Linked DNA regions of Drosophila melanogaster. The protein of the gene in region 1 interacts with the protein of each later gene in a biochemical or structural test. Each region holds a gene or a part of one and is shown on either strand. Other genes may lie near its edges.

Region 1 (2,678 bases):
AAATACTCACGGATATCCATGTCCGCCGTTTTCCACGTAGTAAGGATTCTGGGGACGAGCTGAAGTCCATTGTCCACTGATTAAAAGGATCAGTGACATAGCCAACCTTATAGATAAGAGTTGCAAAAACATTTTCGACACGAAATCGACCCAACGGCAGCGTTGAATATTCAAAACAGACTGAGCAGCGCTGTCGAGTCGAGAACAGACGATCTAACCGAGTTTAGTATTTATTATGAGCCGCTGATAAGCCAAGTTCATGACAGCAGATAAGGCATCAAATTACATAGCAGAAGAGTAGGGAATAACTGATGCAGCTGAATGCACCGGGAATTGTTTGAGTTAGACACTGACTCACAGTGATGGCCACCAAACTAAAATTACTGCGTTTTACACGACGCTAAGTTTCCCCCAATAGCGTTTCTCCCACAATTGTGATTTGGGTTTTCTATGGGTATTTTTGTCTGCCTCCGAATCGTTTATAATAGTCACCGAAAAAACCATTAATCAATCAAAAGTTCTACACAAATATCACTTTATTGGCTAACATCAATCTTAGCGACTACAGATTACGCCGGCTTTCTGCATCGTTTTCCGAACAGCTCAAAGCCAGGCTTACATTTTTGGGTCGTCTCCAGCAATATTCGGTTGTCTATAACTGGCAGCACAGTGGTGTTTTCATTAACCAGCTCCTCCGATCCGCTGGTGATCTGTTCTGTGCTGTTTGTACTTTCCAAACGGAGTGCTATTGTGGATGCGGGTTCCTCAGTTGTCGTTGTGGTCGAGTATGTGAATCTCGAGCTGGTATCGTCGTCATCCTTTGGAAAAACGATGCGATCGTTACCACTGGGCCGTGTTCTCGCCTCGGTGAGGAGGAAGACCAGCGGTAGGATGCACAGCACCAATGGATTAATACGTATCAACATTATCTCCGAGATGCACGCTCGTTTGCTACGATGAAGCTTCGATGACTGAGCGCGGAAACAACTGGCTGGCCATTTACATTCAGATTTTCATTCCCAGCGAAACCAGATAAATGATGGGAGCAAATCGTTGGGAGACAACAATAAGAATGGCAAGGGAGCTCATAAGCTCTCCCATGAAAACAAAACGTAAACAAAGCAGAAGAGTAGCGTTAAGCTTTTCAGATATATCTCAGCTAGTCTACACTGACAGAACTGAATTATCATAAAGCTTTTTTTTAATGAAATATGTTGGTGCCCAGCTATTTCGAACGTTTTTTTTTTTTTTTGTTGATTTGCAATGCAATAATTTACACTCAATACTTTTGAATTTATTTCTTACATTTTTGTCAATTAATTCTCACTTCTTTCCACTTTTATGGCTCTAATCTAGGCAATTTTCCGGCAACGATCTTTTACTGTCAGAGTAGTGCCGTTTGGACAAATTCGCGTTGTTTCCAGGACAATTCTAGGCTCAATACCCAAACTAGTGGAATCGCTAGCAATGGTTGGTTTCGTATTATCTGACTCTGAGGGAAACGCAAACTGATCGCTAGACACTCGAGCTGCACGATTTGTATCCAATGCCAGACACAGCCAGACAAACAAAAATAGCATCTTCGGCCAGGGAAGACGCCGCGTAATTGCCATCGTAAAGTTGGTTTTGTTTATTTGCAATCGACAGAGTCTCTGAAGTCTCAGTTTCCGGCTCTGTCTCACTTTCTGATTCAGATTCGGATTCACTTCGAGAGGATAACTTTAAAAGGAAGCTCAAGTAAACACATTCACTTCATTCAATATCGCACTAAGTTCTAAATCTGTGGAGGTTCAATTTTTAAGAATTTATAGCAGTTTCTAAGACCCTAAGATATTCATCCCGTCGTAGATACTATAAAATATTATTTAAAAATTATTCTAAGTGTGATTCAGTTTTTCAGCACCTTATTATAGAGCGAATCACTTGGAATGGTTATAGTTGAAAATGGGAAAAGCTTACCCATTCAAATAAGTTTGTATGCAGAGATATTCATTATATCCGTTTCCCGTATAGAATATTTGATTCGTTGAAACACTTACTGATATACTAACGAAGACGTTACCAGCAGCAAGATGTCTGCATTTGAGTTCATTTATAATTTTTATTACTAAAATCTAAGCATTATCATTAATTTCGTAAATCTATTACTAATATTTATAGATCTGATAAATTTTACTGGGTTTCCCTAATCCTTTGCAGCAAATGCTGGATCATAAAATTGTATTTGCCCCAGAACGCAGAAGCTGGTCAATTAAGAATCTTTTGAGGAGGTGTGTTTTAAATGTCCATATTTGTATGTCCTTATTTGTATGTCCATATTTGTACACATGAGAATGAAATTATATGGACATATGCAAAAGCATCTTTGATATGCTAATGATAGAACGATTTGACTAATGCATTCAATATAATTAGCGGGACTATTCCAGAACTGGGAATTTTAGACGTGCACAAATGACAAGAGAACAAATATTGAATTCTAGAACCACTGTGTTTAATCGATGCTACAAATATTTAAGTAAATCTGGGAAGTACTCCATTATAACAATATTTTTAATATATTTTTTTTTTAATTTTTGTTAATTAATTCTCAGTTGTTCCCAGTTTTATGGCACTAATCTAGGCAATTTTTCGGCAATGATCATTTACGGTCAGAGTAGTGCCCTGTGGACAAATTC
Region 2 (7,890 bases), on another chromosome or scaffold:
TCAGCTGGGTTCGGAGAACCTTACAATTTTGCTTGCATAAACAGTAGATATGGCTCTGCATAAATTTCTTATACAACTAATCAGGTTGTTCGTGGTCACATGGCATTAAAAAATGAAAGAGAATTGGGCGGGGTGGGGTGGGTAAGGGTTTTCGTGGTAGTTCTGGGGGATAGGGACTTTCTCTTATAGTAGTGTCTTTCATAAAGTTCTATCCGTATGTGGATGCTACTTCGCGAATTTATAGATATCGACTTTAAATGTTGATTACAGAATAATCTCATGATAGGAATATGTAGTCCTAAAATATGAATAAGTGATCTTTATCTACAGAAAGGAACGCAGTGTTCGCAATAATGCGAGGATCCGATCGAAATGAATATAAATGCGATTAGTCCTTCCTGATCTGCACGCATCCCGAGGTATTCAATGCTCTGCCTATGGCGGCAACTGCGAGTGCTGTGATCAGCGGAAGATGGTGGTTTTCTGAGGATCCACGCTCGAGCTGATCACTAGCGGCTTCTCCACCGATGGCTTCTCGTGCAGCGACAGATTGGCCACGCTGCTCGACGTGGTCTTGGTGGAGTACTGGCTCTGACGTTGGTTGCTGCCATCGCGAACACTCGAGCATCTGTGTTTGTGTGAAGTGGTGGAGTGGTTATGACGTCCATTGCGTGGGCAGCGTGGAATAGACAATGGCGGTAAATCTGATTAGAATTGGTTCGTTTGAGTGCTTGGATTTTAAGTTAGGGAAAAGCAGACACATTAAGCGATCCTACAGGATATAAACAGGTTACCTTCACCAAGACACAAAAGTGGATGGTCATTATGATTAGTTTTCGAGGGGTTAGAGGTTATCAGGGTTATCTAATGGTTTCTTCCAACTGGGGTTAACTACAATGTCAACTACTTCTCCATTTCCAGAGGATTACCTGTGACCATTTTGATTAGATGGCTATCTTCGGGGTCGGACTCGGGTCGGTGGCATTGCTACCGGCCTTGTCAACAGCCTTAAGGTGCAGCTTTCTTGGCAGCACATTCGCGTCAGAAGTGATGGAAGTCGAGGTAGTGGTCGAGCTCAGGCCATTCGAGCGCCTTTTCTCCAGGAGTCTTCAATGAATAGCGATCGATGATGATCAAATTGATGTTGAGACACATGCACATATGGACACACATGGTGGATGCAAACATAAGTTTGTGTTTAGATCAGGGCAATTAGGAATGGTACTTCTGTTTAGTAGCTACAAAGACGCGACCGGACTGAGTCACCGAGCTAGGCGGCTGGAGATTCAGTGCTGTGTTGGCTGTCAGTGTTCGGTTTAGAGTTAGTCTGCAGGCAGTGTCTGTTGGTGTTGAGCTTGCTTTTAAGCAATATCGAAAGCAGTCTGACAACGAAAATAAGTACAACATATAAGGTTTAAAATAATCACAGATTGCGCGCTGTCAGAACTCGAAGTGCATATGTATTCCCATAATCTTCAATGGGTCTTCCATCTTAGTGCAAGAGATTTAAGGAACGTGGAATTAGACAGGAATCATATAACCCGAAATTTTCAATATTCTTGATTTAAGCGCGGGTTAGCAAAGGCCACAACAAACGAGCAACCGAGCTAAAGGAGACCTTCTTACTGAAATCGACGAAATCGATTTAGACTTCGTGTGAATGAATACCACTGGTGGACCCATTGGCAAATGCGTTGCGGATCACCACCAGCTTGCGGATCTGGTTGGAGGCGTCCATAAACCGCTGCTTCATCGAGAACGAAGTCGGTCCCATCGTTACGCTCTCAGTCTGCCGCAGACTGCGCACACGTATCGTTCTGAGAATAGTCGGGGTTACAGATATGATGGTGGACAGAGTCAGAGACACGACACACAAGAGGGAGTCACGAGTCGTGTGAATGGACAAACGCCCAGTGGGCGGGACAGGACATAACGTGGAGTTAAGAATAGAGCAACACTTACCTGTTTGTGATCAAGTGCTTGACCTTCTTCTTCATTACAAACAACATGAAAATGAGAAAGCCCTGCATCGCATTGGCCAGATCCGAGATATAAAAGAGCTTAGACCATCCCTTGTCGCTGCCCACGAAGTACGAGATAAGCTCCGTGAGCCAGGTGATGCCCATTATGAGAAAGAGGCGTAAGAACAAGCCGAATCTATAGTTGGACCAAGCACGATAAAAACGTCTTTAGGGGAAGGTGGATAAGAAATACTGAAAGGATGACACTCACTTGTCCTTCTCGGTTCGTAGGTTCTTGGTGCTGTTCTCACTCGCAATTATCCGGGCCATCTCGCGCTGCACGCCGTGAATCTTAATCGCCGTCATTATGAACATGATGGTGTTGGCAACAACGATCGCCAGAATGGGACCGTAGAAATAGATCATGGCTGCCCAGTTGCTCATATCCAGCCAGCAGTATACACCATCACCAATACCTGGCTTTAGGTTCGCGGGCAAATTGGTAAGTTGCTGGGCGCAATAGGTGAAGGCTAGGAAAACTAGGGCAATACCCCAAGAGTACAGCGAATAAAACAGGAAGCGTTTCTTCTCCTGGAATCGGTTAATTCCTCTCGTCCCTCGGAAATTGTGCCACAAGTCAAAGCTAATGACACTTAGCCACATGTAGGCACCCATAAAAAAGAAATATGCTGTGTATCCAAACACTTTGCATGTAACACCAGTGGCATCAACTTGATAGAGTTGCACGTAGCACAGCGAGGAGTAACCCACGGAGAGCCCTATTAAATAGCAGACCAAGCTCTTTCCGTGCTGGTTGCGGAGCTCGGGAATCAATAGGTAAACGGCTATGGTAAGCATCATGAAGGGAATGGAGAACATCATGGCTAGTGCAAGGAATTTCGGTCGGATTAATAAAATGCTGTTTACAAGAAGTAAAGGTGATCGTTTCACTTACCATACGAATTGATAATCTTTACCGTGCTATGATCGTCCTGCATGTCACAATTGGCCGGATGTATGGTGTAGAACATGTCCGATTCGTTGACGTATGTCGGAACCATGCAGAACTCGTTCTTCCTGATTAGCAGTTTATCGTCCACACGGAGCATGGATCCGTTCTCAAAGAGTAGATAATCATCCCAATTGTTGGTCTCTGGCTGCAGAGAAAACATCTTGGGGCAGGGTCTGAAGCTTTGGATAGCAAACTGCGTAAACATGTTGACCAATATCGTAGACTCGTTGCGGAAGGTTATATTGAGCATAGGCGGATCTGGCCACGTTCGGTTGTCCGAGTGGTCTATTATGCATCCGTCAACTTCAGAGTTAAAGACCTGCCGCCACGGGCAGCAGATATTCAGGCAGGACTTGAACTTGCAGACGCATCCCCTAACGTGTTCCCGAACCTCTATGCGCTCCGTTAGCGAGCTGTGTATGTAGTCGTACGTCCCGACCAATTCTGCGGGAACTATTGTGCCGTAGTAATCATAGCTTCCGTTGGGAAAGAGCCTATGGCCCGTCAGATTCACTGTATCGTAGAAATTACAGGGCACATTTGGATCGTCTATGGTGTGGTAGTGGTCTCTCTCGGCCATAACGTAAGTGCCGAAGGGAATCCCCGGAATCAACCGGAACACGACCAAGCACAGGACGCCCAGCAATGTAACTCCGCAGTATAGGGATCCTCCAGGCTGATGAATTTTCTTCGGCATAATGAAGGTTCTGAAATTCGTAAATCTTTATTAAATATTATTACAAATATTTGTTATTATTCTTTAACGTTTATTCTTTTAACGTTTAAATATTCAGTGGAATATAGTTATTACAGTTAGTCATCAGTCGCAACACGCAGCAATTAAGCCTTAGCAAGTGAAGTCACTAATTAAGACCTATTTGCCGATTAGTTAGTCGTTTAATGTTTATCTAAGTGAGTTCACTAATTTGGGCAATAGAGCAACATCTAGGGACCCATTAGCGGGGACGAGTGGTGAATGATCTATGCGGACAACAGGTTGTCGAAAAGAATTAAGGAGGCGAAACAGGATAGCGTCACAAGCAATTAGCAGCCAACGTGTCCCATGGGGAGGAACCAGGGGCGGACTACCCACGACCTGAGCGCCATTCTCCGCGGGACATCAATCATAAGGTCAACCACGCAGGGAGTGCAGACTGAGCAAACATTTATGGATTCGTGTTAAATTGATAGTAACTGCCATTGTCTGTCAATAGAGGTGACAGTCTCCCCGAACTCCACTCCAAACCAATCCCGATCTGCCCACTTTTCAAGCGCTGCTAACGAGCCCGTCCATAAATTCATTACCAGTGCGAAAAGTTATACCGCTCGCTATCTTATCTTGTATCATTAGCCTTTGGGGACCAACTAATTCATTGATCCGCTGATTGTTTGCCTTTGGGGGAGAAGCAGAAGGGTAACCTGCGGCATTGTCAGGAGTGTGGGCCACTAAATTAGTCCGAATTTATGGGATGCGAACGGGTGGAGAAGGACAAACACATTAAACTCCGCACAGTTGGCTAATGGGGAAAATGAATACTGGCAGTGGGTGGGGAAGGGAGAGCCAGAGCACTTATCTTGCGGTGGGAAATTAGCATAATTAATCGCTGAGCACATGCACTTGGGAAATTTCAGCGGACCAAATTCAATCGTATATATCTGCGCACTTTAAATGTGCGAATGAGTGCTGCGGATGTTTGAAAAATAATCAAAACATGCGGAACATTAAAATCATGAAAACAATTAGCCATAAAATTGAATTATAGCCAGCGGTCTTTTCCAATAAACGGATTCTCGAAATTTCCTTGCCCTCGCGAGTGCGCCAAACTTATTTGATAAAAGCAATATTTCTTCCAAATTTTATTTCAAAGCTCTAAAGTTTTTTGTTTATTTATATTTTTATTGCCAAACAATTACTCTTGCTGAATTGTTTGACTACATTTTTACCCTAAGAATTACACATCAAGATAATTCAAAATATCAATGCACGAAAAGATTAAATATTCAAATCGGAGCTTACAATCATTGGATGACTAATGACGTTAGGAAAGGGATTCTACGAATAGCGCTACATACAATCCTCATCTGATTGATGGCATATTTTTAATTCGAACGCACGAGAGTGCAGAATAGGGAAAGTTTATAACCCGCTCTACTAAACAACATAGAAAGACAGTAATTTGGTTTTGATCAATATCTTTCTTTCACAAGTCCATTGCGAGAAGCCCATTTCCAATTTTGCTATTCTGGTGTTTAATGGATACGAACTTTAATCGGAGTACGATGGCGAACTTAAGATATGTTTACGATTTCGTAGCCGACTCGTATCAAATTTCTTATATGTGGTCGGTAACCGATAAGATAAAGTCAATTGGGAAACGACGCCTGCTAATATCTGACAAAGGTATGACTTTCTTGTTTATTTATATATGTAGAATGGCGACATGAGCGACTTATCGAATTGAATCTCCACTTCTAGTTCAATACGTAAACCATTTACTTACAGATGCCCGGCTATGCGACTTCTTAGGTTTTTGGCTTTGGACTCGCTTATTATCTGGTTGATTATCACAGTTTGCGAATTGTCCATGGTCAGGATGTGGCTGAGTAACTTCTCTGAGTCATCCAGTGGTTCTAAGCCCTCCTAAACGTCCATTAATTCTTAATTAACTTTGGCAAAACCTTAGGCATTGAACACATTGAAAATTTATCAGTCCGGAGTCACAAGGCGTATACGCAATTTAAGCAAACTGCTACACCATTCACATATTAAATCGAAAATGATCGAACAAAACAATAACCATATACTATGTGCGTTGTAAACTACACGGAAACGAATTTAAACTCAAGTGAACTGAACTCACATAAATAATAATCTGCGCGTTTTTTATCCGCATTCGGTTTTTATGCAAACTGTCTGGTTTTTTCGTTGATGTTTTTATTCAACCACTTTACTGCTTATCACGTATGCCACAAAATCATTGGAAATATTTCTCATATGTATGCCCATTATCTTGCCGAGGGCTGCGCGGTTTTCAGTCCGTTTGAGAAGCGAAACTAATCGCCAAAGACAGGAGACACTACTACCGTGTGTGAAATCCATAATGTGAAGTCACCACACCGAAGTTGAACTGTGGTGAACTGCAGCGTGTTATCGCTTCTCTAGATAAGAAGTGGTTACAGGGTCCAGTGTTCTTTTCACCACAAACAAACACTTAACAAAACAATTTTTAATAGCCAGCCAATCCATTGACGGGCTTGCTTTTGCTGCTGCTCTACCCCATGTACGAATATTTCGTGAGAAAATTCCAACTGGAGTATTTTTAGACCCCCGATGCTGATGCCTCTGCTGTCCGTCGATTGTAAACAAAGGCGGGCGGTTCTATCAATTGATTGCCATTAGAGTGGGCGGGTGGCAAGTTCGCCAAATATTATTCCACTGACACCCAAGGGGCTTTCAAGGGGAGAGAAAGGCTCGACAGTCAACAGATCCCGTTCGGGAACTCGAGACCCGGGAAGATAAATGGCCGTCAGCATGGGTGTCTGTTAGCACTCATCGGTTTTGATGAAACTCGTGTCAAAGGCCATTTTGAAACGGCACATAAATGTGAACCCCGTAGAAGTTCTTATTTCTATACTATTCATAAGTTCCTGTTGTATTGTATTTCTATTAAATTCTGGGACCTAACGAAGAAGGCAGCACAAACGAACCGATGATGGTTTTCAAAATGAATTAACTTATTAATGGATCCCATTAATAGTCTTGGCATGCTGCATCAAATCTCATTTGGAAAGCGAAATCCCTGCTAGTGGTTGCTCAATTCATATTTTTAGACTTTTCTTCGTAAGGTATAAACATTACTTAGTTTATGGAGTGCTAAGTAGTTGGATGCATGACATTAAAGGGAACTGTTCACATTAACCCCTAGAGATTAATGTGTTTTGTTTTTGTGAGTGAGATCTCTTTGTAAGACACAAATCAAGATAGAAAAGCCATTGGGAAACACAGTTCGGTAACTAAAAAATCATTCCACTAATTAATTGGTACATGCACTTGGCTTATCATGAATATAAATGCACAGCGGGATACACGATGGCCCCACCCGAATCTCTAATGTAATGATAATAACAATTGAATGAAACTTTAGTCGCAACTGCACTTGTAAAGTGACCTAGGATATGTATGTATGTATGTATATACTTAAGCACTGGACATGTATTATATATGTTTATATAATACTCCGGGGTGCATGATATATTTTTATTTAATACTCAGAAGCTAGGGGAAATTGTAGTGAAATAAACAAACCTCAAAGCAAACAATAAACAATATTCCAAGATGTTTCAACAACAATTCCCAGCCAAATGTGCGAAAGTGTAAACAACATTTAACAAATTCGAATTCTGAATCGAAAGAAACTGTTCAGTCCGATTGAATGACCAAGGTGCGGCCTTTGCGGGGTGGCCAGCCATTTCACTATAATAACCAATTTTCCCAGTGACTCAATAAAATTGCATCGAGCGGGAGCAGTTGGGTAAACAGTCAGTATTTGTCACGTAATTAGTAGTTTTAAGCTTTGATTTCTAAACCGATATTTTCAAACTCGTAAACGCAATGGCCAGTAAACTTTTATGACAATTGCCTGAAATCGTACACGGTCCTACAAGTGCGAATCTTGCCAATTGAGTCAGGCACCTGTGTCAGCACAATCCTAACCAGGTCCAATTTAATTTGTAAAATGAATTGCTAGGAGCCATTATATTGTATGAACGATCCCAGTAGTCGGCGTGCACTTACCGAGTTCAGGTGATGAATACTCGTAGTGTAGGCAACTTAAAGTGGCTTGCTGAGCAATAGAGTTCTTCCTGTTGTTGTTTTGTTGTCCCAGCTCGCGCACTTTCCAGTTTTAAATCAGTTGG

Evidence for each region. The genes of interacting proteins can lie anywhere in the genome.
Region 2: the proteins of Gbp1 (region 1) and mthl10 form a complex in vitro, tested with the Drosophila melanogaster proteins (one study listed by BioGRID).

Annotation. Positions count from the first base shown.
Region 1 is NT_033778.4:17,134,746-17,137,423, reverse strand, and holds Gbp1 (Growth-blocking peptide 1), read right to left. Parts: upstream 974-2,678; 5' UTR 927-973; coding exon 570-926; 3' UTR 521-569; downstream 1-520. Other genes in the region: Gbp2 (Growth-blocking peptide 2), read right to left, coding at 11-132; CG11400 (uncharacterized protein), read right to left, coding at 2,620-2,678.
Region 2 is NT_037436.4:333,013-340,902, forward strand, and holds mthl10 (methuselah-like 10), read right to left. Parts: upstream 6,005-7,890; 5' UTR 5,475-6,004; intron 3,681-5,474; 5' UTR 3,671-3,680; coding exon 2,917-3,670; intron 2,846-2,916; coding exon 2,233-2,845; intron 2,188-2,232; coding exon 1,963-2,187; intron 1,818-1,962; coding exon of another isoform or gene 1,646-1,817; intron 1,383-1,645; coding exon of another isoform or gene 1,271-1,382; exon of another isoform or gene 1,247-1,270; intron 1,108-1,246; coding exon of another isoform or gene 945-1,107; exon of another isoform or gene 930-944; intron 629-929; coding exon 463-628; 3' UTR 304-462; downstream 1-303.